4 linked regions of the Tamandua tetradactyla genome follow. The protein of the gene in region 2 binds, or shares a complex with, the protein of the main gene of each other region. Links are inferred from orthologs where the notes say so. Each region holds a gene or a part of one and is shown on either strand. Other genes may lie near its edges. The genes, in order: HTR6, guanine nucleotide-binding protein G(s) subunit alpha isoforms XLas, olfactory receptor 51E2 and SCTR.

What was found.
Region 1: the proteins of guanine nucleotide-binding protein G(s) subunit alpha isoforms XLas (region 2) and HTR6 are in contact, whole or in part, in a cryo-EM structure (PDB 7YS6), measured with the Homo sapiens proteins. The link is inferred for Tamandua tetradactyla from reciprocal best matches to the Homo sapiens genes GNAS and HTR6. Residues at the interface, in NP_000507.1 of Homo sapiens: Arg38, Ala39, His41, Asp215, Lys216, Val217, Phe219, Leu346, Thr350, Tyr358, Cys359, Phe376, Arg380, Asp381, Ile383, Gln384, Arg385, His387, Leu388, Arg389, Gln390, Tyr391, Glu392, Leu393, Leu394; in NP_000862.1 of Homo sapiens: Arg124, Leu127, Ile128, Pro131, Leu132, Arg133, Lys135, Leu136, Ile211, Gln218, Gln221, Val222, Leu225, Thr226, Lys265, Ala266, Thr269, Leu270, Phe323, Met324, Arg325, Asp326, Lys328.
Region 3: the proteins of guanine nucleotide-binding protein G(s) subunit alpha isoforms XLas (region 2) and olfactory receptor 51E2 are in contact, whole or in part, in a cryo-EM structure (PDB 8F76), measured with the Homo sapiens proteins. The link is inferred for Tamandua tetradactyla from reciprocal best matches to the Homo sapiens genes GNAS and OR51E2. Residues at the interface, in NP_000507.1 of Homo sapiens: Gln31, Gln35, Arg38, His41, Asp215, Val217, Phe219, Tyr358, Phe376, Cys379, Arg380, Ile383, Gln384, Arg385, His387, Leu388, Arg389, Gln390, Tyr391, Glu392, Leu393, Leu394; in NP_110401.1 of Homo sapiens: Met58, Tyr59, Asp120, Arg121, Ala124, Ile125, Cys126, His127, Pro128, Leu129, Arg130, His131, Ala132, Leu135, Asn136, Asn137, Ile220, Thr223, Val224, Leu227, Pro228, Ser229, Glu232, Lys235, Ala236, Thr239, Cys240, Lys294, Thr295, Lys296.
Region 4: the proteins of guanine nucleotide-binding protein G(s) subunit alpha isoforms XLas (region 2) and SCTR are in contact, whole or in part, in a cryo-EM structure (PDB 6WZG), measured with the Homo sapiens proteins. The link is inferred for Tamandua tetradactyla from reciprocal best matches to the Homo sapiens genes GNAS and SCTR. Residues at the interface, in NP_000507.1 of Homo sapiens: Gln35, His41, Val217, Phe219, Thr350, Tyr358, Phe376, Cys379, Arg380, Asp381, Ile383, Gln384, Arg385, His387, Leu388, Gln390, Tyr391, Glu392, Leu393, Leu394; in NP_002971.2 of Homo sapiens: Arg174, His178, Tyr239, Leu240, Leu243, Leu244, Ala245, Ser247, Phe248, Ser250, Glu251, Arg252, Leu320, Lys323, Thr326, Gln327, Thr329, Arg339, Arg342, Ser343, Leu347, Tyr388, Leu391, Asn392, Gly393.

What each region holds. Positions count from the first base shown.
Region 1 is NC_135328.1:206,667,489-206,675,207, reverse strand, and holds the start of HTR6 (5-hydroxytryptamine receptor 6), read left to right. Parts: upstream 1-4,718; coding exon 4,719-5,432; intron 5,433-7,719. UniProt on the Homo sapiens protein: G-protein coupled receptor for 5-hydroxytryptamine (serotonin), a biogenic hormone that functions as a neurotransmitter, a hormone and a mitogen. Also has a high affinity for tricyclic psychotropic drugs.
Region 2 is NC_135327.1:26,449,910-26,457,279, reverse strand, and holds the start of guanine nucleotide-binding protein G(s) subunit alpha isoforms XLas, read left to right. Parts: upstream 1-4,370; 5' UTR 4,371-4,385; coding exon 4,386-6,507; intron 6,508-7,370. UniProt on the Homo sapiens protein: Guanine nucleotide-binding proteins (G proteins) function as transducers in numerous signaling pathways controlled by G protein-coupled receptors (GPCRs).
Region 3 is NC_135334.1:75,774,976-75,781,947, reverse strand, and holds olfactory receptor 51E2, read left to right. Parts: upstream 1-3,968; 5' UTR 3,969-4,003; coding exon 4,004-4,966; 3' UTR 4,967-6,496; downstream 6,497-6,972. UniProt on the Homo sapiens protein: Olfactory receptor. Activated by the odorant, beta-ionone, a synthetic terpenoid. The activity of this receptor is probably mediated by G-proteins leading to the elevation of intracellular Ca(2+), cAMP and activation of the protein kinases PKA and MAPK3/MAPK1.
Region 4 is NC_135329.1:95,985,082-95,993,031, reverse strand, and holds the start of SCTR (secretin receptor), read left to right. Parts: upstream 1-4,944; 5' UTR 4,945-5,075; coding exon 5,076-5,129; intron 5,130-7,950.

The sequences.
Region 1 (7,719 bases), on a different chromosome or scaffold from region 2:
ATCCATAGTGGCCCTGCCACCCACCATGTGGAATTGGGCTGGAGACAAGTTTACCGTCTGCATGCAGGTTTAAGTGACCCCCTGCCTGCTAGGGTCAAGCCTTGGCCATAATGATAAGCACTCTTGAGCTGGAGGTGAGGGCTAACTCGGGGGCCAGAGAAAGTGCTGCAGGGCTTCCAAGGACTTGGAGATCAGGTGCAAAGGAAGGGTATCCTGGGGACGTGTCCTTGGCACTGGGCCTCAGAGGCTTCCTGGGTTTAGACTGGAGCACTGTCTTGGTGGTAAGATCAGTCTTGGGAGGGGCTGCTCCACTCTGCATATGCTATGAACTTATACTTAGGATATAAGTTTGTAGATAGACAAAGGAAATTAATAAGAGGCATACTGGGAATAGAAGGAAGGTGAGTTGGCACTGTTGGTGGTGGGCCTGGAATGCTAGCCATAGTTGACTTCTACTTAGAGTATAAGTTCATAGATATATAAAGGAGATTAATAAGAGGCATACTGGGAATACAGCAGGAAGGTGAGTTAGCACCGCTGGTGGTGGGCCTGGAATGCTAGCCAGAGTTGACATCATTCTTTTTGCAGTGAGGATTCTTGGAGGTGTCCGAGCAGAGATATTTAATTAAGACTAAGATGGGAGAGAAGAGGAGGGGGAGTCTGGAGACCAGCAGGGAGGACTGCAGTGGGCCGGAGTTAGGTGGAGGCAGTGGGGTCGGGGAGGTGGGACCACGCGGGAGGGGTGCTACTGATTGGATGAACACCCCAGGGAAAGGCAGGAGCCAGATTTAAGAGCCAAGAGGCCACAAAGACTAGAGAAGCCCAGCTAGGTAGCTGTGCAAGCTTGTGGGTGGGTGTAGGGTGTGGGGATAGTGTCTTCCAGTTTTTGTCTTGGCTAAGCTTAAGCTGAACCACCAAAAGAACCCACAAGAAAAACATGTGCGCCACCCCCACCCCTGCCAACAAGAGTGGATGGCCTTAAAATCTTCCCAAGGGGTTAATACTGACACACAGTACTGTCAATGTAGGCCCCTCTTCGGATGGTCAGGCAATTTGCACCGGCCTTCCTGCGAGCCAACGCCCAACTAGTTTTCTTCCCCTGCTACAAGCCTCTGGGAAAACCCAGTCTGCCTGGGTTCAACGCCTGGCTTCACGATTTACTTGTACAATCTTGAGCAAATTGCTGAAGATCTGTGACTCTCAGTTTCCCCATCTGTGCGATGGGGACTGTTGATCACACAAACCTCACTCCCAGGCTCCCAGCATGACATGGGTCAAGGCACATAGAGTGCTCGGGACGCCAGCTACTATTATTATCGATGAGACTGGCCCACAACTGCTGGTAGCTGGGCTAGGGTTGTTCGTGTTGTTTATTTATCCACTCAGTCATTCACTGAACAGATGTTTATTGAGGACCTACTAGGTGCCAGGCACTGCTCTCGCCACCAGGAATACAGCAGTGACAAAAGAGACCAAAGCCCCTGCTCTCACAGAGTTCACCCAGTTTGGTCTATTCTCTCTGTGAGAGCCGCCTTGGGCACACCTGATGCCCTCTGCAGAACTCAGTTTCTCCATCTCCCTTCTTCTATGTACTAATGGGCTGGAGGTCTGTGGCAGAGGATGGAGGCTCATCTGGCCCATTGTGGCACCAGCTGTCTCCTCCAGAGGGGAAGCTCCCCGTGGAAGAAGTAATCAAGCCTCTCTCTCCTGAGATGTCCCTCCCTATTCTGAGATATTAAGGAATTTTTGAGTTTTATTACTTCATGAGTAAAGCGATAAACTTAGAAGCATCCGCGGAGCTTCTGAAAAAGTCTGGAGTGCTGTAGAGGAGAGATTTCAAGAAATCACAATGGCCAGAAGGTGGCACCACTATTGTGTCAGGTATCTTGAAAAATATTATTTTTAAAATTAAAGCAAAGTACAAATCACATATAACAAACACCTTTGCATCTATTACCAATACTTGCTAAATGTTAAGTTTCTTTCTTTTTTTTTTTTTTTTAGGTCTTTTTAAAGATAAAAGACATAAAACATTACTGAAAAAGCTATAGCAGAGGGACTCATCTTCTTTCCAATTATGTACTAAATTTTATAAAGCTAAAATTTACCTGGCACCTCCTCTGCTCTAAATATTTTAAATATTCCACTCACATCTCTACTGCTGTAGAGGATTTAAGAGACTTTGCTAGGCTTGCATAGCAAAAAGCAGAATTGAGGTTTGAATTCAGGCCAACTGGGCTCTTAATCCCAGCCAACACATCCCCTCTCAGGCTTGATGTTTCTCACACCAGGAATCCCTGGGCTGAAGGAGTGACCACAGGGCTGAACTCACCCTATGGGACCATTGAGTCCCAAACACGGAGCGCACCGTGAAAATGACAGATTACCCCAGTGGGTGCTGCGTTGCTCTGCTCGCTGTTGCATGGGACAAAACAGAGGCCCACATGGCTGGGAGGTGGCAGAGCTGGGATCCCAAGCCCGGGCTTCCTGACTTTCAGCCCAGTACTTGGTGGACTGCACTGTGCTCCTTGGGGCATGGCAGCCACCATCGAGGCCTGGCGGTGTGGTGCTGGGAGAACAGGCCTCCTTCCCCCCCCCCCCCCCCGGGTGGACCCCCTTCTTGCCAATCTGTGGTGTAGAGCTGGGTAAGGTGTGGCAGGGCCTTGAACTTTCTACCTGGAGGTAACGACCATTTGCAAAGCTCTCTCTCTGCACTGTACATTTGGTGGACTTGAGTTTCAGGTCAGCTTGACCACTTGCTGCTGTGTCCTAGGCAGGGATAGGGGACCAGGGATAGTTTTAGCCCCTTTCAGCCTCAGTTTAACATCTACCTCTCAGCGTTATTGGTGGGGTGGGAATAATATAATAAAGCCCCTGGGAGGTAGCAGGATCTCTACACGTGGGAGGAAGACCCCCTCCCCCCAGGTCCCCATAGATCGTTGCTATGGGAAAAAGCTCTACACTTTTTCCCATAGCAATGATCACCTTATGCAATTCACTTATTCATTGTCTCCTTGGTTATTGTCTGTCTCCTTTCACTGGAAGTTAAACTCCACAAAGGGAGATCTTCTTGTTCACTGGAGTGTGGCAATTGGCTGGAGCAGTGCCTGACACCTACTAGGGGCTCAGGGGATAAGGGAATGAACTCTGTCCTATTGCTGTGCACAGCCAGCAGGGAGAGAGACGCTGGGGGTCACGCCCAGGGGGCGCGACCCCGCCCCCCACCCCGCAGTAACTCCTGTCCTGGGCCAAGTGTTAGAGTGCGAGCGCCCCCAGGTTAGGGACTTCCTTCATCCCTAGGGAATTGGTTGGGCATTTACGGGACAGGAAGTTTTCTGCTGGCAAGCTCCTGGGGAGGGAGCCACCCGCAGCTTGAAGCCTGCCTGCTCAAATTAGCCCAGGAATGATGAACCCATTTTACAGATATGGCAACTGAAGAGTGGCGGGTGATCTGTCCAATATCTCCCAAATCTTGGCCTCGCGGTCAGCGCGGAGATCACCGCTGCGGGTGGGCAAACCCCTCCCCTGAGGAGCTGACCCTGGCTGAAGGCGGGCCGCGGCTCCCTCCTCGGAGTTCCGACTGCGCGCCCGCCACGCGTGCGTTGGGAAGGGTGTGCGGGGGTGAGGAGACTGCCACAGGCTGGGAGGCGAACCCCGCGTGATTGGGGTGCCCGGATCTTCCCTCCACGGGCCAGGGGTACCCGGGACCCCGCCTGCCTTAGGAGGCTGGAGCTCGGGCTCTCCCCGCCCACCGCGGGGCGGAACACTCGCTCCGCAGCGCGGGGACCCTGCGCTCCTGCCGGTCCCCACCGGCTCCTCCGCGGGTGCGGGCCCTTCGTGGCGCCTCCGGGCTTAGGGAGTCCCCGGCCCGCCGCCTCCTCGGCCCGCGGCCGCCTCTTCCTCTCGCAGCCCTCTGGCGCCTGCCGCAGTCGCCAGCAGCGGAGCAGCGCCGAGCGCCCCAGGTACCGAGCGCAGGCGGGAGAGCCGGGCCCGCGACCCCACGGCTGGGTGGGGAGGGAGCGGAGGCGCGGCAGCTGCTCCTCCTCTCCCCGCGGGGCCCGCCTGAGTCCTCCCTCCCCAGGACTGCCTCTGCGGGGGCTCTGAGTCCGGCCTTCCCCACCCTGGGACCCCAAGCTCTACGCTCCAGATCCTAGCGCCCCCACAGCCCGCCTGACTCCAGGGAGCTTACCTCCTGCAGGAGACCCCCCCCCCCTCCCCGGCCCCGGCTCCCACCTTCCCTGGTCTCTGCTCCAGCACCAGGCGCCCTCGCCCCATCTTACCGCCCGCCCCCTCTAGGGGGCTCTGCTTTCGCGCGAGGGCGGCCATCCAACCTCCCAGAGTCATCATCTGGCGCCCCCGTCCTTCAAACTTGGGGTCCGCTCCCAGTAGGCGACTCTGGTCCATCAGGCGCACACGTTCTCCCCCGAGTTCCTTTCCGTTTGCTCCAGGTGTCCCTGCCCCACCCCCGACGGTGTGCACCCCCCCCCCCCACCTCCTCGGGTCGTGGCTGCTTAGCTTGGCGGCCCCGCCCGCACCTTCCCGCCGGCCCCCTCCCTGTAGGGGGTTCCTTTCTCATCCGACGGCGCCCACCCGCCCTCCGCTCTTCCAAGGGTCTCTGCTCCTCAGCGGCGACCCCTCACCCTGTCTTCTCGTTCACACAACCACGTCCTCGGTTCCCCTCTCGGGCCTCACGTCCTCGTTCTCCATCTCCGGTCTCCATGGTCCCAGAGCCAGGCCCTGCCCACAACAGCACCCCGGACTGGGGGTCGGGGCCGCCGTCGGGCCCGGGGGGCAGCAGCTGGGTGGCGGCCGCGCTGTGCGTTGTCATCGCGCTGACGGCTGCGGCCAACGCGCTGCTCATCGCGCTCATCTGCACGCAGCCGGCGCTGCGCAACACGTCCAACTTCTTCCTGGTGTCGCTCTTCACGTCGGACCTGATGGTGGGGCTGGTGGTGATGCCGCCCGCCATGCTGAACGTCCTGTACGGGCGCTGGGTGCTGGCGCGCAGCCTCTGCCTGCTCTGGGCCGCCTTCGACGTGATGTGCTGCAGCGCGTCGATCCTCAACCTCTGCCTCATCAGCCTGGACCGCTATCTGCTCATCCTGTCGCCGCTGCGCTACAAGCTGCGCATGACGCCCCCGCGCGCCCTGGCGCTCGTCCTGGGCGCCTGGAGCCTCGCGGCGCTCGCCTCCTTCCTGCCGCTGCTCCTGGGCTGGCACGAGCCGGGCCGCGCGCGGGCCCCCGCCCCGGGCCAGTGCCGCCTGCTGGCCAGCCTGCCCTTCGTGCTCGTGGCATCCGGCCTCACCTTCTTCCTGCCCTCGGGCGCCATCTGCTTCACCTACTGCCGGATCCTGCTGACCGCGCGTAGGCAGGCGGTGCAGGTGGCCTCCCTCGCCGCAGGCCTGCCCAGCCAGGCCTTGGAGACGCTTCAGGTACTGGGGTGCCCGGGGAGGGAATGAGCGGCCTCGAGCACCCACTGGGCACCCATCACTTAATATGCCCTCTAAAGGACCAATTCCAGTTCCCTCCTTTCCGCTGAACTCCAGCCTCAGGGCCCCACTGTCCGCCTCACAGAACTCCCCCCCCACCCCCGGGTTTTGGGGCGTGCTTAGGGAAGACAAATTGTGCCGCAGAGAATTCAGAGCGTCTCAGCTCTCCCACCTGCTCCTCCTCCAGTCTTCCATTCCATCTTGGCAAATGGCACCTTGTGGCATCGCAAGCTGGAAACTTAGGAATAATTTCTCTCCAGGGCCTCTTGGAGCTGCTTCCTAAATATGTGCAGGACGGAATTCTGCACTTCTCCCCATCTCCTCTGCTGCCTTCCTAAACCAGGCCACTGTCATTTCTTACCTGGGAGCCTTTGGTAGACTCCCACCTGCTCCTCCTGCTTCCAGTCCTGACCCACTACTCTCTATTCTGCACAGGAGTCAGAACAATTAAAAAAAAAAAAGTGATCACCTCACTCACTGCTCCCAACCCTTCAGTGGCTCCCCATTGCTCTCAAGAAGAAAGGAAAGCCATCTCATGACCTGGTCCATCAACCTTTCCAGCTTCCTCTCTTCCCTCCTCTGTCTTACTCTGTGCCAGGCTGGCAGCTCTTCTGATGGCTCCTAGACGGCCCCAGGCTTGCTTTGGCCTCAGGGTCTTTGCACTTGCTGTTCCCACTGCCTGGAGTGCTCTTCCCCCGGGGCTGCCCTTGCCTGGCTCCTCCTCAGCTTTTGCATCACCTCTTCTGAGCGATTGTCCCTGGCCTACTTGGCTGCAGAGCCATCTGCCCTCCCCCATCCCGTTAGTCTCAGTTTATTTGCTGATATGTTTGTTGTCCGCCTCTCCCACCTGAGTGGGAGCTCCAGGAGGGCAGGGCATATCAGTAGGTTCGAGTCCCCACTGTGCATGGTGGGTGCTCAGTGGTTGCTTGTGAATGGGGCCAGTGCTCTTAGCTCAGATCCCGCCGCGTCTAGGAGTGGAGTGGCTGCTCTTGCCACCGTAGGCAACATGCACCTAAGTCCTGTCATCATCTGGAGGGAAGGCGATTGACACAACAGACTGGGCTCGAACCCCAGCGGATTAGGTCACAGGCCCCAAGGGAGGTCTCGACCAGACCCTGCAAGCTCATGGTGATGGAGCCTCAGGCTGAGGAGGCTCTGGGAGGGTGGGAGTGCTTTGATGGGGGATGTCACTTGGTAGCTAGGGACTTGGCCCAAGGGTGAGCCTTGAAGTGGTTGAAAGGTTAGCACCCTCCTTGGCTGTCCTCTAGAGAGGCTCGTCCAACAGCAGCGCAGCCCAGAGCTGCAGGTGGCCAGTCAACTAGGAGGGCAGGGCCCGGGTGGCCGGGGTCCTACTGTCCACCTCCCTGGGCTCGCTGGAGAACCTTCCTGAGCCTCGGCAGGCGGCTGTGGCCTTGATGTGGCTCTTCAGTGGTGGGGTGACTGCCCCTGGTCACCCACATTCTCTCCCTGGATTCTTTTAAAGGAGCATTTTCCAGATTTCAGGCATCCGGGAACTGCCTCAGGAGATCTGCCTTACTCCCCACATCCCCACACCCCCTTTCTTCCACCCCGAAGCCACTGGAACTCACATTTATTTAACATCTTCTTTAAATCATCCCACTCATTTTTTTATTTTCATAAATTTGTTTAGGGGGGAAATGAAAACCCCTTCTCGTCTCTTCCAGAAATGGAAAATCAGCATCCCTTGCCATAAATTGAAGATGTTCACAAGCTTAACTCAAGAAGGGGCCCAGGCAGCACCCCTAAAGTTTAGCCTGGGATGGCTGCTGCTCTGAGCCAAGGCCTCCCTTCTCTTTGCTTAAGCGTTCAAGGGTGCTAAAGACATGGTGGCATCAACGTGAGACCTCCTCCTCCATGTAACCAGGGGTGCTGGGAGAGCACTGCAAAGGGACAATGCTCTCGCTTTGAGGTGCAGAGCTTTTTTATGGGGTGTCCGTCCGCCTAAACTCACCTCACATTCTTACGCTTTGGGGAACTTTGCTCTAGTGACCTGCTAGAGAGACATTGGCTGGTCCTGCTGAGGTCAGGGTCGGGGTGGGGGGGCGGGACTCTCACGTCTGAGGAGAGGCTGATATCAGGAGTGAACCTGAGGCCGTGGCTTCGGCACCTGGGCGGGAGTCTCCCAGCTCCTGACAGCTGCAGCTGGCTGACCTTGAGCGCTCACTATGTGCCAGGCACCGAGCTAAGCTTAGTGTTTCTTTAATTAGAG
Region 2 (7,370 bases):
TTCCTCAAATCCCCAAGCCAGTCCTCAGGCTACCTTTCTGATCAGTCAGCTCCTCAAATATCTGGCCATGCTTCTGGGGTCTCTCCTCAAGCCGCACAGCCAATGTGTTGTTGAGTTTCACTCTTAACCCCACTTGCCCAAGTGATGTGAGGTTTTCAGCTTATAGTAGCCAGTCACTACAGAAAAATAAAAGTGGACAAAAAGGGAAACATTAGGGTTCTTAAGTGTTAGGATTTATTCTCCCTGGTCCTAATTTAATCTGAAGGTGATTCCTACTCAAGTCTCATTGTCCTTTCTCATCCTGCAGCAGTGGTTCTTAATGGGGGGCAATTTTGCCCCCCAGAGGATGTTTGGCAATATCTGGAGATATTTTGGGGTTGTTACAACTAAGAAGATGCTGCTGGCATCTAGTGGGTAGAGGCCAGGGATGCTACTAAGTATCTTTAACTGTATAGGATAGTCCCCACACAACAAAAGAATTCCAACCCCGAGTATCAGCAGATTTCATATGCTGACCACTTCCTAACTTCCCTCTGGGGTTCCCCCACCTGCCCCTTAGCCCTCACTGCCCTCTCCAGTGGCCCAAATATTGGCTTTGTCCAAGATTCTATCACCAAGTATATTTCTCCCCTTGAGAGTATTTTCTGATCCAGTGATTTCATCTCCTGCTAAGGACAATTATCAATTTGAATTTATTGGCTTTGCCTTCTTTTAAACTTAGACCCATCCTCCTAGTGTGTCACAACCTCCATCAAAACTGCCCATCAACTCTGCAGTGTCTAAAACTAAATTGGCTCCGCCACCATGCCGGCTCCTCCCCACTTCCCCCATCTCACTCATGGCTGGCCAGCCAAGTGCCATTGGGCCCCCTCCGCTTTTGTGCATTTCTAGCACAGAATTTCAGGAGATCCTGCTCCCCTGACTGTGTGTGGCTCACTCCCTAAAAGGTCACAGCCAGCCATGGCCTCCTTTGTGCACACACATACCCATTCCTTTGTTCTCTTCCTGAGGGCTCCTCCATGCTGCCTCAATCCTTCCTAAAACATGGCTCAAAACATAACTTGCAGGACAAAAAAAACTTTCCATGTCCTCTCTATTTCCTTCAAAAATAGCCTCAAAAGTGTTTGCCCTAGCCCACAGCATCCTCAGAGACATTCTTCTATTTTCCTTGCTTTTCTTCCTCTGCCCCTCCAAGAGCCCAGATGGCTTATTCTGTTACCAGGTCATGCCCCATGCTTCCTACCACTGGATCTTTTGTTCCCGGTGAGCTGGCTCCCATCCCCCCACCTATTCATAGCCAAGGCATCTATCCTTGACGCCCATTTGAAACGCCATTTCTTCCTACACCAAGCCTTCCCGGGTCCCCCCCTCCCCCCATCCCAAGTGGAAGTCTTTCTTTCATTTTTATGCTGCTATTTCCTTTGGGGGGGGGCTGGTATCTGCCCAGCCTTGATCCCCTCCATGTATGTGCTCCCCTGTCAAATAACCAAGATAAGCCAAAAGAACGTTGAACAAAGGGGGTCTCACGGGCCCAAGACAACGTTGCACAAAGAGGCCCCAAAACCATCCCTTGATGGATGCCTTGGGAAAGAGATCTCAAATTCGCACCATCCGAAGTGAGGTGGGCTGAGCGCAAGGCCTGGTGTGAACAAAGGTTCCTTCTGGGGTCCCCAGCGCGATCTCCCTGGGACTCAACCCCAGCGTCTACTGACCTTCCACTTTTGCAGGTCTCAGCATTCCTGGGGTCAACAACTGCATCGGGGCGGGAAGCCCTCTCCTCAGGGTCCTGGATCTCTACCTCCAGGCCCTGGAAATCTTCTTTCTCCTCACCTCGCCCCAGCGGCGGTCCCCTATGTTAGGCAGGTTCGCCAACCGCCATCAGCGAGACCAAGGGTCGACCCCTTGGAGCCCCTGGCCTCCCCACCCAGTCTTTGTGACTTGTGGTGTCAGGCAGAGTGACCCCACGGCGTTAACCGACCTCGTGGCCTCCCAGGCCTGGCGGCCATACACCCGCCCACCAACGGCTTCCAACCACCCTACCAACACCTCTTTGGGCGTTCCAACGCGGCGCCCCCTATTGGACCTCCCACCCATATCCGGTTTCCGGTCGGACGCCCCCTGCTCATTCGCCAGGAAGACTTGATTGGCGTGACCCCAGCCCAATGGCTGACCCGGTGCTGGAGTTGGAGGGGGAGTGAGTTGGCTATTGGGACCCAGTGGGCCCATTCAGTAGGTTCCCAAATGGCTGAGCTATGGTGCGTGCGGGTAGTTGGCCGAAGTTTGAACCAGAGTTCAGTGTTGGCATTTGGAAGCATGTAGTCCCATAGGGAGGAGGCAAAGCGCCTTTGGAGGGACCCCCAGACGTTAGTTCAGCTTTACCAGCGTTCCTCCCCCACAACAGCCCCCTGCACGGTGGGTGGGGGGGAGGTCGGGGCTCGGTAGCTGTGGTACCCTCCTTCTGAGGAAGAAGGACGCGTTAAACTTAAGATCGGACCGTGCTGTGGTTCGCCCGCAGCGGCTTGTGGTTATAGCGATCCCGAGATCCAGGCGGTGCGTCCTGCGAGCGGCAGCCCACCCGATGTGGCAATCAGCGGGCCATCCCTTCCCTATGGTTCCGCAGACCAAGCAACCACCTGTCCCTTCCCAAAGTGCTCGCCAGTCTGTGCTACCCGCTGGGCAGGCTGCCCGCGCGTGCGAGATTTTCTCTCCTGGGTTGCAGGTTTTCCCCTGGGTCAGATCCCTCCGCAGATCCCCAGACCCGGCGCGGTACACAGCACGCGCCGAGTCCACCCAGACACGACGGGTGTTTACCCCTGTGGGCTCTGAGCCCACCCTGTGCTATGGTAATAGCGCAGCCGGGCGACCACTGGCTTGTGGCCGGGCTTAGTGGTGCTTCTGCGTGTTCTAGCAATGGGAAAGTAAAGCGGTAACCCTGAGACACCCTTAGCAAGAAGAAAGGAGCTGAAAGGGCGCTGCGGAAGGGCCAGGGGACTAGTTGGACTTGCCGCGGGTGCTAGAGCCTTGGAGCCGCGTGGTGCCGCGGCACTGTGTGTGTGCCTTTGGATTCAGCGTGCTCAGAGGTGCCAATCTCCGAGACTATTCCAAGCCGGCCATAAACCTGGACCTAAATCCACTTTGTCTCTTCCCCAGAATGGTGCGAACTGCAGAACTCCCAGGCCTCCACTCTGTGGGGTCTCCATGTGCGCCCCGCACTCCCGGGTTCTGGGCTGCCGCGCCGCCGCCGCCACCGCCGTGACTTTTCCCGGGAGGTTTTGCCTGGCATTCAGTGGTGCACGCCCAAGACCCTCTTATTCACTCTGCCTCACCCTATACAAAAACGTGGAGAGACCCCCTGCCCGCGCTGCTCTAGGCCACTGCGTAGACCCCTAGAGTTTGGTGGGGATGGGGGACTTTGAAGGGCTTCACGGAAGCCAGCCTCGGCAAGCAGCAAAGGAAAACTGCAGAAGAGATGGAAAGTGCCCTAAGGCGATTTAAAAGCAATCATGTGCAAGCACTCGGCAGCCCCTCACTTCCCCTCCACCTTTCCGGTGGGCTCACGACCACCTGTCGCATTCTCATGCGCTATCATCCCCCTTCCCGGGCTCCCAGAGCCTTGCGCTATGGACTTGGAACTGCCGGGAACTTGGAGCTTGGGATCGGGGGCTTTCCGGGACTGGGGGCTGCGGCTCAGAGGTATCTTGAGGTGAGACACCCTCCTGCAGTAACCCCTCCCTGGGGGGTAGAGTCGGTTAGGTCAGGGAGGCAGGGTTTCAGCTCCTGCGTTCAACCTGCCCGGGACCCACGTCTTGCGTCACGTGTCCCGCAACGCAGGGAGAGCTTTCTCTCTGGCCAGGGATGAAGCGAGGAGAAAGCCTCCAAATCGTCAGGGAGAGGAGTGGAAGGAACCAAAACGTCCCTCGGAGGCCTGCGCTCATCGCTCATCAGCCCCTTACCCAAAGTCCGGGGTTGCGAGTGCCAGGAGCCAGCGTCCCCTGGTGGCAGAGAGCGGGCACTACAGACGATTTTCGGACCGAATCGGCACGCTCCTCAGATCCAAGCAGGCGGAGCTAGCCTGGAGCAGAGGGGGAGAGAGAGAGAGGAGGGACAAGGACAAGGACAAGGGGGGGCCAAGGGGGCAGCTAAGGGGATAAAAAGTGGCCAAGAAGGGACCAAGAGTCCACCAGCAACGGTAGAGTTGCTACTGCTATGGTCCAGGGTCTGAAGTGTTGAACTACCAGACTTCACCCAGGTTGAGCAGTGAGGTTGGAGAACTTTCTAATTGGTACTTCGATTTTTTTTTTCCAAAAAAATTTTTTCACCCTAGTTTGGTTGGGTGCTCCGTCTTACGGGGCCCCCAAATTATCTTGAAAGGCCGCCACCGTGTTATGGGCCTGCGCAACCGCCTCGACGGCAATCATATGTCAGGACAACGCGATATCCCCCTTGAATTCGGGGAGCAGCCCAACCAACCACCTTTGGAGGCCCCAGGGGCAGCTGCCCCCAGTGCTGGGCCTGGCGCAGCCGAAGCGATGGAGACCGAACCGCCTACCAGCGAGCCCATCCCGGTCAAGACTAGCGGTGAGGCCTTTGGATCGCCTGAGGTCTCCGAGCCCTGTTCCCAGGGCCTCGGCCTGGCCTTCCAGGAAGCTGGAGCTTGTGGAGGCCATAGTCCACCTCCCGAAGAAGTCAAGCTCTTCCAGACCGAGGAGCCCAGCGTGGGAGGCCTCTGGCCTACCCAGGAGCAACCTAGAACCTTCGCTGGGGCCCGTGCAGGGGCCAGTGCAAGCCTCGAGGCCTTTGGCCCAGCAGCAATGGAGCCCCAAGCCTTCGATGGTGCCAAGTCAGGCCTGGGAGGCTACAGCCCTCCACCAGAGGAAGCTCTGCCCTTTGAGTTTAAGCAGGGAGGCTGCAGTCCACCTCCCTTGCAGCTCGGAGCCCTCTCTCCGGCCAGCCCAGGTTTGGGGGTCACCAGCGCTCCCCCAGAGGAGCCTGGACCCCCCAGGTCTGCAGACGCAGGCTTTGGAGGATCCAGCCCTCTCCCTGAAGAGGCTATGTCATTTCGGTTCGAGGGAGCAGGCTTTGGGTACGACAGCCCACCCTCTGGGCTCTCCCAAGTCCTCCCAGAGACCGACCGCGGGGCCCAGGTCTCAGCAGTCGCGGTCCCGAGCGCGGTCCGCCTCACTCCCGCCGAGAACGCGCCCCCCCTCTGGGCCCCGGGCGCCATCGACAGTCCAGTCCGAGAGGCTGTCAGACCTCCTCTTCACTTCGCGGGTGACAGCCCCCCGCTGGAGATCGCCCGACCCCAGCTCAAGATTGGCAGCGCCCCCATTGGGGTCTACGACGCTCCCGTCAACATGGACAGCCCCCCAATCGCGCTTGACGGCCCGCCCATCGAGGTCTCCCGAGCCCCAGTTGAAAGAGAGCGAGCAGAGCCAGGGAGACCCCCAGTTGAGGGTGAAGCAGCCGAGATGGAAGGAAGCTCAGCCACTGCTCCCGCCGAGGGAGGTAAAGTACCTTCTCTCGGGAACGGAGCCCCTGATGCCAGGGACGGTGCCCCTGACTCCCGGGACGGAGCCTCTGACGCCGGGGACGGAGCCTCTGATGCTGGGGACGGAGCCCCTGACGCCGGGGACGGAGCCCCTGACGCCGGGGACGGAGCCCCTGACGCCGGGGATGGAGCCCCAGACGCCGGGGATGGAGCCCTTGACGCCGGGGATGGAGCCCCAGACGCCAGGGACGGAGCCCCTGATGCCGGGGACCGAGCTCCAGACACTCCAGACACCGGGTGTGCCGCTGATGCCCCTGCAGCCCCTGACGCCCCTGCCACCCCTGACGCCGGGGCCACCGCTGCCACCCCTGACGCTCCCGCTGCCGGGGCCGCTGCTGCCGCCCCTACAGCCCCTGCCACCGGGACCGCTGCCGCGGTCTCTGCAGCCCCTGCCACCCCTGCTGCCAGGGCCGCCCCTGCTGGCCGGGTCACCAGAGCCGACGTCCCTACCCGGGCATCAAGCAGGCTCAAGATGCAGCGCCTTAGACCCCCCAGCCCCGAGATCCAGGCTGCTGACCCGCCTACTCCGCAGCCTGGTCGCTCGGCTTCCCGGCGGGGCCCCAGGTCCGACCGCAGCGACGACGAGGAGTCCGTCAGCAGCGATGAATCCTCTGCCAGCAAAGACGACCCAGGAGAGGGGACCTCCGGAGGCCGCCGCTGGGGGCAGCCCCGGAAGAACCGCCGCCGCCGCCGCAAGCCCCGGCGCAACTTACTCCGCAACTTCCTCATCCAAGCCTTTGGAGGCTGCTTTGGGCGATCCGACAGCCCCCAGCCCAAAGCTCCTAAGCCCCCCAAAGTCAAGAAGGTTTCACTGGCAGAGAAGCGCAGACAGATGCGCAAAGAAGCGCTCGAGAAACGGGCTCAGAAGCGCGCCGAGAGGAAACGCAGCAGACTCATCGACAAGCAACTCCAGGCTGAGAAGATGGGGTACATGTGCACGCACCGCCTGCTGCTTCTAGGTAATGCGGTGGACGCTCCCCACTAGGAGCAGAGCCGCCGGTGGGGCCCGGGAGGGGGTGGCAGGGCTGCCCAGTGGGGTTCGGGGCCTGGCGGCCGGAGGAGGGGGTCCGGGCAAAGGCAGGAAAAGCCTGCTCGGAAGTTCCTGCAAGGGACCCTAACTTTACCCTGGGAGCGGGAGGGTACCCGGGCAGGCTCCGGGGGCCGAGGTGTGTGCCCTCCAGGGAGAAAAGTGGCGCAGAGCGACATTGAGGGTCGTTTCGGGCTGGACAAGCCGGCACCAGCGACAGTAAGCTGCCCCGGAGCCTTGGGGTGGGGGCCGGCAGAACAGGCGAGGGCTTCAGGTGAGCCAGGAAGCGCTGAGGAGGGGGCTGGTGCCTCCCCAGGCGAGGACGGTTTGGGCCGCGGTGGGTTGGGGACGTCGGGAAAGGTGTGCCCCCGCCTCGCCTGGCACGGCTGCTTGGACTCGGAAAGCTTGTGTTTGGTATGTGTTAGTGTCCGTATCCTGTGTCTGCCTGTGCATGATCAGCTCAAGTATCCCCAGTTACCCCAACCCCGGCACCCCAAATTACCCGCCGACTGTGTACTTGTACTGGAGAAGTGGCTTTCTGTGTTTTGCGCTATGGCGCGGTAAAAAAAACTTTCCGTGTTCGCGCACTCTGGTGGTACCTGTACGTTGGCGCTCTGCAGCGGGCAGCGCGAAAATACAGAGGGGAAGGTGGCTGGACATCTTGGGTTGAGGGGCCTTGGCGTGAGGGGGCCGGTGCACACCGGCCTCCATAACCTTTTTTTCTGTGTGTTTCTCTCTTTTTCCCTCTGCGCTAAACGTTTTCCTCACTTCTTATTCGTTCACCAAACCCTCCCG
Region 3 (6,972 bases), on a different chromosome or scaffold from region 2:
GTACCCTCATAGAACCAGCCATATGCTAACTGCACAAATGAATGAATGGACTAACTACATTGCTGGATGTAGGTGCCCATTAAATATTCAGTGGTGGTTGATAGGAAAACTGTTCTCTTCTTGTTTTCAGAGATTACAATCCTGGAGCACTTCCTAAAGGAGGCATTGCTTAAAGCTAGGTCTTAAAGGCTTGAGGCATGGAGAAGGCAGGGAAAGGAATAAATGGAAGAAAGAAAAGCTTGGTCAACTGCACAGAAATGCAAATAAGTCTATAAGGTGGTTAGGGAAGACCAGTTTAATAGAACCCAGGACCCCTGTAGGTACGTCAGATCATGTCTCTACTATTTAAAACTCACCAATAACTTCCCAGCTCACTCAGAGTCCAAGCCAAAGTCATTTTACGTTCCTTAAATCTTACAAAGTCTTCTATGGCCTGGTTTCCCATTGCCTCTCTGATTCCATCTCTCTTCTATTCTCCCCCTGTTCTCTTGGCTCAGGCACACCGGCCACCTTGTTTTTCTAAACCACCAGATGTGGTCACATCTCAGGGACATTTTTTGGTGTCTGTTCCTTCTTCCGGAATGGTCTTCCATATAGATATTCCATAGATGCATTCCTCATTCCTTCAGGCCTCTCCTCAAATATCTCCTTTAGATAACATCTTCCTTGGGCACTCCATCCAAAATTCCAGTTGCTCCCCTGGCATTTCATATCAGTTTCCTTTTCCTTTTATTTTTTCTCCTTATCACTACCTAAACATCCTATTTTATTTACATATTAACTCCATTCATTCTGTCCCCCTCATAAGAATGTAATCTCCATGAAGGCAGAGATTTTTGATGTCTGTTTTGCTTATTATATAGTAAGGCCACAATAAATATTTGTTGAATGGATAAATGAACAAAGATGCAGAACACAGATTCTCCCATCAGTATTATGGCTAGTTATCTATGTGACCAAAGGCAGAGAGCCTTTACCTCATCTGCCTTTACCTGTAATGGGTACAATGATGAGTGGCTTCCCAACTACAAAGGCAAAGCTAAGAAGTGATGCTGAGAAGTGTCAGGATGCAGACCCGAGAAGTTACTATCATCTGTCCCTAAATGCCTCTCATGCATGCATGATCCAATTCTGAATTATGAAGTTATACCTCTGCATACCATCTTGGTGTATAAAATGCTGTGAGCACTTAAAGGCCAAGGTCCTTAACTCTATGCCTTTGTTAGCCATTTGGCCTAGCAGGGTAGCAAATGAAGAATGGTACTAACCCCATAAGAAATGACTGTAGGAACTGGGGTTAGCTTAGAAGATGTGGGGGACTGAGGGAAACAGACCATTGGGACCCCTGTATGTTTACATGTGGGAGGGATGGTGGTAGAGGCACTGGGCCCTTTGCAATTGCTCCTCAAAGCAGGAACAGTGGGAAACCTGTGGGAGTGGCACACAGTAGACATGCTGTACATGTTTGTCAAGCCCCTGGGGCTTCTATACTCTAAAGCCTGCTCCCATGGGCCTGCTGAGCAGCATTATAAATAGGCCTGTGTCTGAAAGGATGAGATGGCCAGACTGCATCATTCTTAGGTAAGTGTACCCTCAGCTGGAGTCAGACAATCTGAAGCTCCTGCCAGCCTAAAAGAACTTGAAGACCACATACACTGCCTGGTACAGGGAGGTCTTGTCCCATCCATATCTCCAAGGACAGGTAAAAAAAAAAATGTCCCAGAGCCTTAACTGACAGTTCAGAAAGGCAGGTGAGAATAAAGCAGCAGCCACATATAGATGCAAAGAGAAGCTGAAATTGGATCTAGACAGGGGAAAAAGTAAGCAGAAGGACAGCAAACCTGTGAAGGAGACATGAAGTCTTTTCAGGGAAGCTTCTAACTCTGTGGCCAACAGGGACTCTTGAATCTGTCAACATTATGTGCAGTATCATGGGGACAGGGTTTTGAGAAGGGGGAAGAATGTAGCTGTGCTCCGCCCTGATGCCTCTCCCCATGCCTGCCCTTTCCTTCGGCCTGAGCCCCATTCCTCATAGGCATAGCGCTTTTGTGATCTGGTCTCCCACTATGGAAGGTTCTTCAACCCCATCCCACACACTTCTAGTAGGCCGTGTTTGAATTGCAGCAGCATCCCTCCCAAGCTATCTATGATGAAAGCTTTGCATCTCACTGGAGAATGTAATTCTCTGCCTCTGGAAAGGGCTTTTTACTCTCTGACAGCAGCTGTAAGCCAAATTTGGGATTTAAAGTTTGTCAAGGAGGGTAGCTATTCAGTCTCTGAACAAGTTCTGAGGAAGGAAGAGAGCACATAGGGGTCAAAAGTGTGACTTCTGTGACCTTTGAACACTGGATCTGTCCTTCTTTGCTTATAAAAGATGGGGAGAATCCAAGTCAAAATATTAATCCTCATTTTATTATATTGTATTATATTTTTAAGACCTCTGGTGTCTGAACCCTCTCCACTAAGGCCAGATGGAAGGGCAATTTCCGGAGGCAATTAGGACCCAGATTAGAGTGAAAACCAAGCCTGGGGGGATGAACACATTAACCTGAATATCACTACGAAGAGACCTACAGAGTTTATTCCAAAGAAGCAAAGCCCCAGCTCCTCTCATTCAAGCCTTTGGCTCCTTAGAAATAATTAGCTCCAAAGACCAGGGCACTTAGTAGCCTAGTAGGAGAGGAATTGGATGAAGTCAGATTCTTTGTGTAAAGAGGTTGGGGGGAACACTACTGCGTTCCCAAGAAGAAAATGTCTCCTCTAATGTGAATGGCTTGCTGCAGAGGTCCCAGGAAAGACGAAGGCCCTGGAATATCATTGTAAAATACAATAATATCTCTCCCAAAATTGGGTCTCAGCATGATATCTCCTTGAGGAAAATGAGAGTGGCCTCAGAGTCAGCTAATGTGTGGAGGATCTCACCAGCCAGAAGCAAAAGGAAATGTAAAGCAGGTGGGATTTGTTTGACTCATGTGTCCTGCCATACCCTCATCCCTGGGAAAATCATCTAAGGGAGCTACTACCTTTTACTTAATGTCCCCAGATGAGTTTCTTTTATCCCTGAAGAGATTTGCTTCTGACCTTTTTTCTTAGTTTTTGTTTTCTTTTCAGGATTTTTGTTTTATTCATTAATTGTTACTGGTCTGTTTCTTTTCCTCCCCACTGACCTTAGAACTGGAATCCTGAAAAATAGCAAAAAAAAAAAAAAAAAAAAAAGACCCTACCTGTACTGCCTTGGACCACTCTTTATACCCTCTTCTGCCTGTCTAATTTCTACTCATGTTTCAAGACTAAACAGAAGAATCATCATCTTTTTCAGGAAGGTCCTCTGATCATTGTTCCCTCCCTTCCCATGCAATAAACACAAGCCTAATGCTAGTGTCCATCAAAATACTCTAATAATTTGGTTTTTTGTCTACCTGATTATCTCTCACACTATGCAGGGCATCTATTGGGTGAGAAGTGACTTTCATGTCCATATCAGCAGCATGTAGCTGACAACCTTGTACAGGTTAGGTCATGTAATAAACGCTTATGAAACAAGGTAAATGAGTGAAAGAACAGACACAGCCACTTCTGAAAGGGATTCCCAATGGGGTATCTCTTAAACCTTATCTGAGGAAAGAGCCATTCAGTATCTATACAGTGAAGGTGTGGGCAGGGTGAGGAGTCTGAGGGAATTTGGCAAAGCCACATTTTTTAGATCAGCATTGTTTCCCTCTGAGTCCCTTCTAAAAATTCAAATAAACCTTGAGGGTAGTGATTGATAATGTATTTGAGCTATCCTTCTTCCCCGATCCCTTAGAAAAGGGGATAAAAGACCTGAGAGTCCTAGAGTTTGGGAAGAAGGAGAGAAGAGAGGTTAGGAAGGAAGACTGAGGACTAAGAGGCCCTCCGTCTCCAGGTCTCCAGGTTAGGTCTCTGATTATGCTCCATGTCCTAGCAGGTCATCAGGCTCCAATGTGACCTCACCCACTCCAGACCCGCCTCCTCAGTGCCAACTATGACTTCTTGCAACTTCACACATGCCACCTTTGTGCTTATTGGTGTTCCAGGACTAGAAGAAGCCCATTTCTGGATGGGCTTTCCTCTGCTTTCAATGTATGTCATGGCAATATTTGGAAACTGCATCGTGGTCTTCATCATAAGGACTGAGCGCAGTCTGCACGCTCCCATGTATCTTTTCCTCTGCATGCTGGCAGTAATCGATCTGGCCTTGTCTACATCCACCATGCCCAAGATTCTTGCCATCTTCTGGTTTGACTCCCGGGAGATTACATTTGATGCCTGCCTTGTCCAGATGTTCTTTATTCATGCTCTCTCAGCTGTTGAATCCACCATCCTTCTGGCCATGGCCTTTGACCGTTATGTGGCCATCTGTCACCCATTACGCCACGCTGCAGTGCTCAACAACACAGTAACAGCCCAGATTTGCATGGTGGCCGTGGTCCGTGGATCTCTCTTCTTTTTTCCACTGCCTCTGCTCATCAAGCGACTGAACTTCTGCCACTCTAATGTGCTCTCATATTCCTATTGTGTGCACCAGGATGTGATGAACTTGGCCCGTACAGACACTATGCCCAATGTGGTCTACGGTCTTACCGCCATCCTGCTGGTCATGGGTGTGGATGTCATGTTCATCTCCCTATCTTATTTTTTAATTATACGAACTGTTCTTCAGCTACCTTCCAAGTCAGAGCGGGCCAAGGCCTTTGGGACCTGTGTGTCACACATCAGTGTGGTTCTGGCCTTCTATGTGCCACTCATTGGCCTCTCAGTGGCGCACCGTTTTGGAAACAGCCTTGATCCCATTGTACATGTTCTCATGGGTGATATCTATCTGCTTTTGCCTCCTGTGATCAATCCCATCATCTATGGTGCCAAGACCAAAGAGATCAGAACACGCATGCTGGCCATGTTCAAGATCAGCTGTGACAAGGACCTTCAGACTGTGGGAAGCAGTTGACCCACCCACACCACTTCCTCTTATCCTTAATGGCTTGATATAATCATTACCTAATGTTAGCTTAGTTCTGGTTGCCCATCAGTGCTTATTTTCTAAAATTCTGTCTCTGTTCCTGGTACCACAGTATGTTTGAGAGGCTATAATGATCCCCTTGCATAAGTAAAAAAGCAATTGGTCTCTTTATTATATAAAAAATTAAATTAGGAAATCCACAATACTCATCAATAAATAGTAAGGCAGCACAAGGTAGAGTGACAATTAGCTTTGAAATGGGAAAAATTATTCAGTCTAATTAGTACCTAAAAAACTTATATTAAATCAATAATCAGATGACATTTCTCCTATCAAATTAAGAGTTTTCATTAATGAAAATTCACAATGAAAGTGAGGTTGTGTTGAAACAGGTATTCTTGAGAATCACCACCGATAGTGTAAATTCAAAACCTTTGAAAAGTAATTTGTCAATATGTAGCAAGATTTTTTTCTTAATGGAGTGATATCCTTTAGTGTTTAAAAAGAGTTATATCCTTTAGAGCTGATATCTCACTTTTGAAAATTAATCCTCACAAAATAGCCCTAAATACAGGGAAAAAATTAATAAAATATACTAGTTACAGCATTATTTGGAGTAATATATTAGAAAAACTGGGTATAATATATAAAAATAAGGAACAGTAAACAAAAGTATGGCCCATCTACATAATGGAATATCATGTGGCCTTTAATAATCGATGGAAGACTCTGTTATCGCAACAAACATGCTTATGATGTTAAGCAAAACAATGAGGGTACATGATTGAAACAAATTTGAAAAACAACCCATGCCTTGAAAGAAATGTGCTACTTTCTATTTTTTTTTTTATTATGGAGTTCTTGTTCAGCTGACATGTACTACTAAACAACTTTGAAAGTGGGGAAAATGAAACTCATAATTTATGGGTGCCAGGGACAGATGCAGTCCTCACTGTTGACATTACTTGGGAATTTACCTAAGCCTTTAATCATAATGCTAATTAACATTTCTTGAGTGCTTTTCAGTGTTCCAGGTGCAATGTTAACTGTTTTACAGGTTTCATGTGGTCTTTACAGCAATTTTATGGAGTATGTGCCATTTTTGTCCCCTTATAACAACAGGAGAAATGAGGCTTACCTTAGCAAGGTGATGCAACTAAGTCATACAATTCCTAGGTTCTGTGCCAAAAATTGAAATTAAATTTTTTAAGAGCAGGGCCAGAAGTCTTAACTACCTTGTTCTATTGCTTCCTGTTTAACATCTGCCATTTACTTCCTCAGCCTTTGCAAATCTTATTTACACTTTGCTGTGTACTAAGATGTATGGCTTTGCTTGTGATAAGAGATAACCTTGCCCTTATTGTCAACAGCAAATCCAGATTACTTTTCATATTTTACAGCCACCTTTCATGATCTAACAGCTTTTTTTTTTCCAGATTTTTGGAAATTTGTCTCCTACATCTCTTTATCATGCCTTCCCTTTTTTTAGTACATCCTGTATCCATCCAGTACTTTGAATGTATGACACTTGATATTGTCTGAGTTTGAATTTAGGTTCAAGATACAATAAAATTTTTATTTTGAATTTTGCAAGGTGTTATGCCAATTGCTATTACATTTATAGAACCCTATAATCTCAAATTTGGAGATGTGAGAGTTTCCCAGGTCTTTCTTCACCTGAATAGGAGTCCTGACAAGATATATGTTTGTTAAATGCTTCGTATCTCAAAGTAGGCTATTCCCCTTTTGTTGTTGAGCAATTTGATGAGCAGATGAAATCTCACTCCAATTATTGGGTCGATGTGTTCCCTCTGTAATTTCACGGAACAAGTCTTGGGCGGGAAATTTGGGTGGATAAATCATTGGGGATTCTATGAGATTGAACTCCCTTATATTTCCCTCAACAAATTTAACCCTCTTCCATCTCCCTCTTCATTAGATTACAACAAATTATACCCAACCGCCCACTATAAAAGCATAGTCAGATTATCAAG
Region 4 (7,950 bases), on a different chromosome or scaffold from region 2:
TAGGTCTGTTAAATGCATGGTTATACAAGCCTCTGCAATCTTGAACACCAGCCTCCATCCTCTTTCTGGCCCAGGGGAGTGCAGTGATAGCGTTACAGCTTTATGCATGCCACTGAGATTGCAGGGGACTTTCCTTCTAGCACCGCACCTGGCACAGCGTAGGTGCTCAGTAAATAGTCATCAAGTGAATGCATTCAATTCGTTCTTAAATGAGGATTTGCTGCTGTTGGAAAAATGCAAAGAAAAAAATTATATGATTTCTTGTTGGCGAAATAGCTAAAAATAAAATCTTCTGACAACCTGAAGAATCCTTTCCACAGAATGTAGAAAAGAATGAAACAGTTTTATTTTTGAATAAGAACTAAATCAGACCATGATACATATCACAGGCAATCTGCAGAGTCCCACTCTTCTATAAAGTCAGGCAGATACAATCCATTACATATATGTTCACTGTCTTTATCCAAAGGAAAAATAAAACTTCTCTGACCTTTTGGCAAGCAGGAAGTTGTAAGCTGGAGCCAAGTAGCTAAGCTAAACTTCCACGACACAGGGAGACAGTGAATCACCTTCCTTGATAACCACATTTCAAGGAGATGGTGCCAAGAAAGACATTCCTGGGATGTCAAACTTGCAATAGACTTATTTGGCTCTGAAAAAGATTTACATATACCTCAAAGAGACAGAAAAAAGATTTATAATAAAAAATTTTCTAAAGGAAATGCTGGAAAAAAAAGGGAGGAGAGATGAGTTCTCTTTTCCTTTTTGGCACTATGAAAAAATTTTAATTTAAAGGTTTTTAGATTTGTATTGAACAAATACAAATATATATTGCCTCACTGGATTGAAACTACTGAAGAACAATTTATCCCAGAACCAAAAGCGGGATCTCCCATCCTCAGGATAAATTACCCTTTAAGTTATTATTATGAGAATATGGTGAACTTTCAGCGTTTGGATGGCCATGACTTCAGCTTGCATATCCCAGTGGACCAGCAACTGCAGTGGGATAAGCCAAAAGAGATTAGAATCAAGACCTGGGAAACCATTTAGATCAAAGATTGCCCCTCCCACAATGAACATAACAGTTAGGGTCCATTCACTAAAATAATGAAGTTTAGAGCATGTACCGTATGGTATTTCCCCACAATGGCCATAACCATATTTGTGGTCTTCCAGAACCTTTTCTTTCTCCCATCAAGAGGTTAAGTCTATGTCTTCTCACCTTGAACCTGGGCAGACTTCTTGATCATCTTGGCAACAGAATACAGCAGAAGCAGCACTGTGTGACCTCTGTGACGAGGTCAGAAAATGCAACAAGCTTCCACATGGCTCTCTCTGGGGTAACCTTTGGACCCCTGGGGTCATCTTTGGATCCCTGAACTGCTATGTGAGAAGTCCAGCCTTTCTGAAGATGCACATTGAGACAGGAGAGATGCTTGGGGAGCCTCAGGGGTCCCAGCCTAGACAGGTAAATGAACAAGTCTTCAGGGGATTCCAGTTACAGCCACTGTCTGACAGCAACCCTGCAAGAGACCTCAGCAAGAACCACCAGTCACCCTCTCATCACCGCCCCACCAGAGCTGTGCGATAATAATAAATATTTGCTGTTATTTTATATCATTAGATTTCTGTGAGATGGGTATAAGCACAATGGAAACAGCTCCAGTTGGAAATCAAAAACCAAGTTTAAGTACAAGCAATTCTACCTCTTAGCTGTGTAATCTTGAGTTACAGCTTCATCAACTCTGTTTTCCTCATCTGTTAAATGGGTATGATGATATCACGAAGTGAGATTACTCTTCCTTAGCATCACCCCCTCCCCAATCCATTTCTTACCTTCTCCAGCCAGAAGGTTAGCTCTATGGACAGTTTCTCTCAGGCTGGCTTCTGATGGGGTTCAGCTAATAGGAGACACTGCCAGGAGCTCAGTGGACAAGAGCAGAGAGAAGTCCTGGTACTTATTCTACCACCTGGCCCCCTTGCCAAACCACAGGTGTGGCGGCGTCTGCATTCCTCTATGGATAAGCTCCAATGGTTGGCCCTTCTTCCAGGCCAGCTTCCAGGAATACTGTTCCCTATCCCTGCCCCTTTGGGCCCACTATTGCTTTTCCCTAACCCCTTACCATCCCTCATTGCTCCCTTAGCTCTGCCCACACTTCTGCCCATAGCTCTTTCATGAAATTCTCTTCAATTCAACCCTTTGAGCAAGCGCCAGGTTCTCCCTGCCAGCTGGTCTTACTGACCTCACAGAGTTGTTTTGAGGCTCGAATGAGATGATGCCTGCAAAAGAGTTTTGGAAGCTCCAACAGTTAAAAAGTCATCTGCATGGCTGCGATGAATCCTGGTATAGTGCAGATCATAGTATAGTGCAGAGTACGGGTAGGCTTTGGACTCAGTCTTGGGTTCAAATCCTGGCTCCACCTCTTGTTTAGCCATGTCAGTGGGGACAAATGTTGGTGCCTCCTAAGCCTGCAGTGTCTGTCCTATTTATCAAGGAGAAGAATTCTCCCTCACCTAGTCCTGGAGAATTAGATATGATAGTACATCACACATTTCTAACACTGCCTAGTGCACGACAAATGTTAAACACGTCATTAGCTCCCCAACCCTTCCCTCCCACCCCTATTAGGAAACTGTTTTCTCAGGCAGTCTTTATGAAGGCACTGATTGCATCCGTGGCCTGTAGAAGGGCATCTCTCGGAGCTCCTCAGACCCTTTTCTCAATGTTCTGAGAGGCAGAGTCCCATCTAAGGAAAAATGGCTTGCCATAGGCCAGAAATTTATTGACTTGTCTGGAACAAATGTCGTTATTGTCTTCTCATTGCCGAACATCCTGTGTAAGCGCAGGATGCATTCTTGTGTTGTTTCCTCTTGATTTCTTTCAATCAAAAAAGCCATGCATATTGTTACAGAAAAATTCAAGCATCACAGAAGTCTATACAGTAAAAAGTGCAAGTCATAACCCCGTGCGCTTTTTGATACACATTTAGGCTGTTGGGGTTCCAGGAGGTCCAGGAAGTAACCTTTTTCTTTCCAGCCTGAATCTTGTGCCAATTGAGAAATAAGATTAAGACAGATGGGGCCAAATATCACTTTTATTAGTCAGTTTTGGAGAATATGGTTTAAACTTGTGGGCAAATGGATTTTCTATCCCTGGACCCCAGGAGTAGAGAGACCACCACCCTGCCACTGGTAGTGCTTGACCAATGCAGGGGCAGAAGAGCTGGTCCTGGGCAGGGAGTAACAGGTTTTCTGTGGGTGGGCAGGTATGCGGGCGAAAGGAGAGGAGGTGGGGAAGGGCTATGCACGCCAGGTCCTTACCCCAAATGCATCAGTCATGTAGAGCTTGCCTCACCTGTGAGTGTGTATACACGCGTGGGTGTGTGTGTGGGGGGTCATAAGGAAGAAGAGAGAGGTCAGGAGCATTGTATTAATGGTCCCTCTCCATGAGGAAGGAAACATCAGGGTGGGGCTACGTGTTCTCCTTCCATGTGCATTACTTCCAGTCTTCTGCTTCCTAATAGTGTTTCCAACAACACCTTTTCACATATTCCCTTAGGTCCCTTAGCATTTCTTTAGAAGTACTGGAAGTACTAACTGGAAGTAAGTCAGAGGTTTTGTATATTTTAGATTGTTATGTGCTGAACTTTGATTTTGGACCTGGGAGCTGAAAGCATTTTCTTTTTTTCTGCTGTGATTTACCAGTCTCGCTTTATTTATCAGTGGTCTCTTAGGGTAGCAGAGGCTGCTAAGGATTAAAGCATGACAGTACTTTCGGGGTTGCTTAGTGGTCTGACCTGAGGTCAGTTTTGGGGAATTAGCATCAACCATGGAAGTGCAGAGCCAGGCATTTGGTCTGAGCTTCTGAATCGCAAGTACCTGGCTGTGTCACTTGTCCTCCTCCACCCTCTGTGCTCTCTCTCATCAATTAATACCACCTAGGAGGTATTGGGGAGAATTAGAGAAGTAGGTGAACTCAGGGGCTTAAAGTGCCTGGAAAGAGAGATCAAGATAGGCAGTGGATGAGAAGAAAGGGAATGGGCAGCAGTGCAGAGAAAGAAACTGGGTCTACAAGAGCTATTTGGGGTACCTTGTATTGGCAGGGGAAGAGCCACCTCTAGGACATCTGGGTGCTCTGATGCTGGCTGAGGAGGCAACTGGGAATACCTGCCTGGTGCTTAATAACCTCCCTGGGGCGCTGGGAAGCATGAAGCTTCCAGGCTGCCTATTGGCAGAACAGCTCCCAAATTCCTGGGGTACCAAATGGTTCTCGTTGGATCACCTAGCCAGATTTCATCAAAGATTTCTTCACGTGGTGGTGCCCACGGGAATGAAGCTTCCTGCAATGAGCATGCATGACTTTAAGAAAATTAAGTGAAAATCGAAAATAAAGTGTAAGGCAGCTGCCCCCGCCCCCCCCCCCCCCCCCCCCCCCCCGCAGTATATGCAACTGGCATTTACCGAGCGAGCACTCGCTCTGTAAGAGGCACTGACTAGTTTACAACCTTGTTTCAACTCGAAGGTAGGTGTGTTGTTAGGGGTGAGAGCTCTGCAGCTCAGAAAAGGTGCCCCAAGTTACCCATGGGCACCCAGCAAGGCCATGGCAGGGTTGACCCAGAACTTAGGTCCGTGGAATCTCAGGAGAGGGCTCTTCCCGGATTTCCGGGGCTCTCCTTGGTGTTGCAGCCTCGAAAGCTAAGCCAGCGTGTCCTCTTGGTCTCCCCCGCCCCGGGGACGAACCTGCGGGAACCGGCTGCAGGCCCTGGCGCCGTCCCTCCGCCTCCTTCCCTGCCAGCCTCTGCGCCCTCCCGACGGCCCCCGCCAGATCGCTGGGTGGAGGCGCGCGGCTGCGCCGCGTCCTGATCAAAGAGCTGGTCGGCTTAGCGCGCAGCCACCTCGCCTGAGGCGGCGCAGCACCAAAGAGCGCCGCGGTCCGGCCGCCCAGCCATGGCTCCTCGTGGCCCCGCGGCTGGTGGCGGCTCCGGATCCTGAGCCGCGCGCTGAGCTCCCGGGCGGGCGGAGTGCACCGGCAGGCGGCCGTCGGGGGAGCGCCGGGGAGCGCGCCGGCCACCATGCGCCCCTGCATGCCGCTGTTCCTGCTGCTGCTCCCCTGCGCCCTGCACACGGTGAGTACGCGTCCCTTTGTCCAGCGCCCCCTGCCCGTTAACAATAATTTCTATTAACTCCTCTCCTGATAGCCCTTTTCCCCAAAAGAAAAGAAGGCTTGCGCTCCAGGAAAGGGCAGCTCTAAGGCAAATCGCTGTGCCCTTCACCCCAGCCCTCCCTCCAGGCTGCGCCTCTCTGAGACCCTCCTAGGATGGACATTCTGTAGCCGCCCCTGGCAGCACCTTTTGTGAGCTGAGCCCTTTGCCTCCCTCATTTCATTGAAACCTCATAATCACCTGCGAGGCGAATATTACCGCCCTCACTTTACAGATAAGGAAACTGAGGCTCAGAGGAGCAAAAATCTTGCCCTAACTCAGGAAAAGAGGAACCCTGCGTTTGTCTGCACCAAAGCCTTAAAATTTTCCCAAAACGGGCTGCAAATGGGGAAACCTCAGAAAGCTCTGGCGGTACCTTCCAGGTGTGTGATGGAACCACTTATGGCTCCCTCCCTCCTCTCTCTTGTGGGATTTGGTCTCCTAATGTCTGGAGTCTCCTGGGAGCAACTGCTCCCCACAGACCAGATCCAGGGAGGGGCTTTGCAAGAGAAAGGAGAAGATGGCAGGGTGGTGGTGTTTTGTTTTTCTTTCCCACAGCGACTCCTGGGAATCCCTCTGGAATTAGTGAATGAAAGCTTGGCTAGACCCAGACTGCTGGGCTGCAAAGAGTCTGGGAAATTCCCACCACTATTCCAAACTGGTCCCCAAAGTCCCTGTCCCAAGAAACTTCCCAGGGAAAGTGCTTGGGGACCGAATTCTGAGTCTTCAATCTTTGGCCTGGGCAAGTTCTTGCTAACATCCAAACACCTTGCTTTCCTATAACTCTCTTCTGTTTGATTGTAAGAACAACCTCTGTCCCCCCACCCACGCACTCCCGCCACCTGGATATCAGTGTTGACTCAGGAGGTGCCCAATTTTCAGGCAGCTCGGTGAATTTCCAGCAGCAGTAGTTTGGAAGTGTGGAATTTGGGGCTAGCTCCCAGCTCCCTTATAACTTTGTAGCTTCCTATCCTGAGTGGTGGTCAGATGGCACCCACCCATTAGTCTGAACCCCCAATCTGAGGTAATGCCACCTGGGACATCTGGGACAATTTGAAATTAAATATGACCTGGAAGCATGTCATTCAGTGCCCAGGTTTGGAAGAAGTCGTAGCCTCTTCTGTGGGACGCCCCCATCCTCCTTCTTGAGTGTTTGCAGTAACCCTGTGTTTGTCTTAAATCAACAGGTAATTGGGCTATAGGACTAGGGCTCAGCCTACATTACATTTTAAGAATATCTCCTGAATAGCTCAGGATTATGTCAGGAATAGCAAAGGGGAAAATAAGAGCCACCATTTGGGTAAAGTATTCTTCAGTGTCCCTGGAAGAATGCTTGATTATATTCCTATTCAATTCTGAACAATCTGAGACCCATAGAGGAGACGCCTGCCCAAAATTGGCAAGTTAGTAGTAGACCTGGGACTAGCACCCAGAACTCTTGATTCTCAACTACCCAGGGCTGGTCATTATAGCCTCAGCTTTACACGTCATTGCAAACACTCATGGATGTCCTTGTATCATTATGAGATGGCTTCCTATGTGTAAATCTTGGAACTCCAGTTATTTTACAGAGTTTTCCAGACCCGAGATTGTGTCTCATACTTCCCAGCAGAGAACACCTTCAATAAATAGGTGTGGAATTGACCCACGGTGGCTGGAGTATTTCCAAGCCTCTGAAACCCTTCAGTTTGTTTGACTCTGGGTCAGACATTTGATTTTGAAATTGAAGTGTATTTAAATAATTCAAATAGGATCTCCCAAGAGGGAGATTTATCTGTGTCCTCTGAACGGCAAGTCATTAAGGGCAAAATGCTTATTATAATCCCCTGCCTCCTTTTCCTTCGAAGGAGGTGCCAGTAGAGTTCCTGTAAGTGGAAACCAGAAGTGGTGATTGGTGCTGAGACAGTTTTCTGGGGTCTTCTCTGTTAGTTTGCAAGTGGCCGGAAGGCAATTTCCCAGAACTGGAGCAGCTTTTAAAAAGGGAAATTTAATAAGTTACAAGTTTACAGTTCTAAGGAAGTGAAGGTGTCCAAATTAAGGCACCAACAAGAGGTTACTGTCACTCAAGGCCGATGGGTCAGGAATATCTCTGTCCATTGTGTTCATGTGCTGGCATCTGCTGGTCCCTTGCGCCTGGGCTCCGTTGCTTTCAGCCTTTGTTCCTGTGGGGGTTCCTCACTTTGCTTCTCTGGGGCTGTCTTTCATCTCTTGGCTTCCCTCGGCTCTCTCCAGGTCCTGGCTTGCTTAACATCTCGTGATAATATCTGCTGGGCTCCAAGTATCTCCCAACATCTGTGTCTCTCTTCTCTGCCTGTCAGCTCTGCTCTGAAGTTTCTGTCTGCTCTGTCATTTCTAACTCTCTCCAAAATGTTTCCCCTTTTAAAGGAGTCTGGTAAACTAATCAAGACCCACCTGAAATGGGTGGAACCACACCTACATCTAATCAAAGATTACACCAACAATTGAGTGTGGCACATCTCTATGAAGATGATCTAATCAAAAGTTTGCAGCCTACAATATTGAATCAGGATTAAAAGAAACAGCTGCTCCCACATGATTGAATCAGGATTACAATGTGGCTTTTCTGAGGTACATAATACTTCTAAGTGGCACACCTCTCATAGGAGGCAGTGGCTACATCTCCATATGTATCTGCCACCCCCATGTATCTTATGAGCCTTAAAGATTGTCATGCTACAATGTTTCATTATTTCCTGGCATGTCTGTCTTCCCCCATCTCTAACAC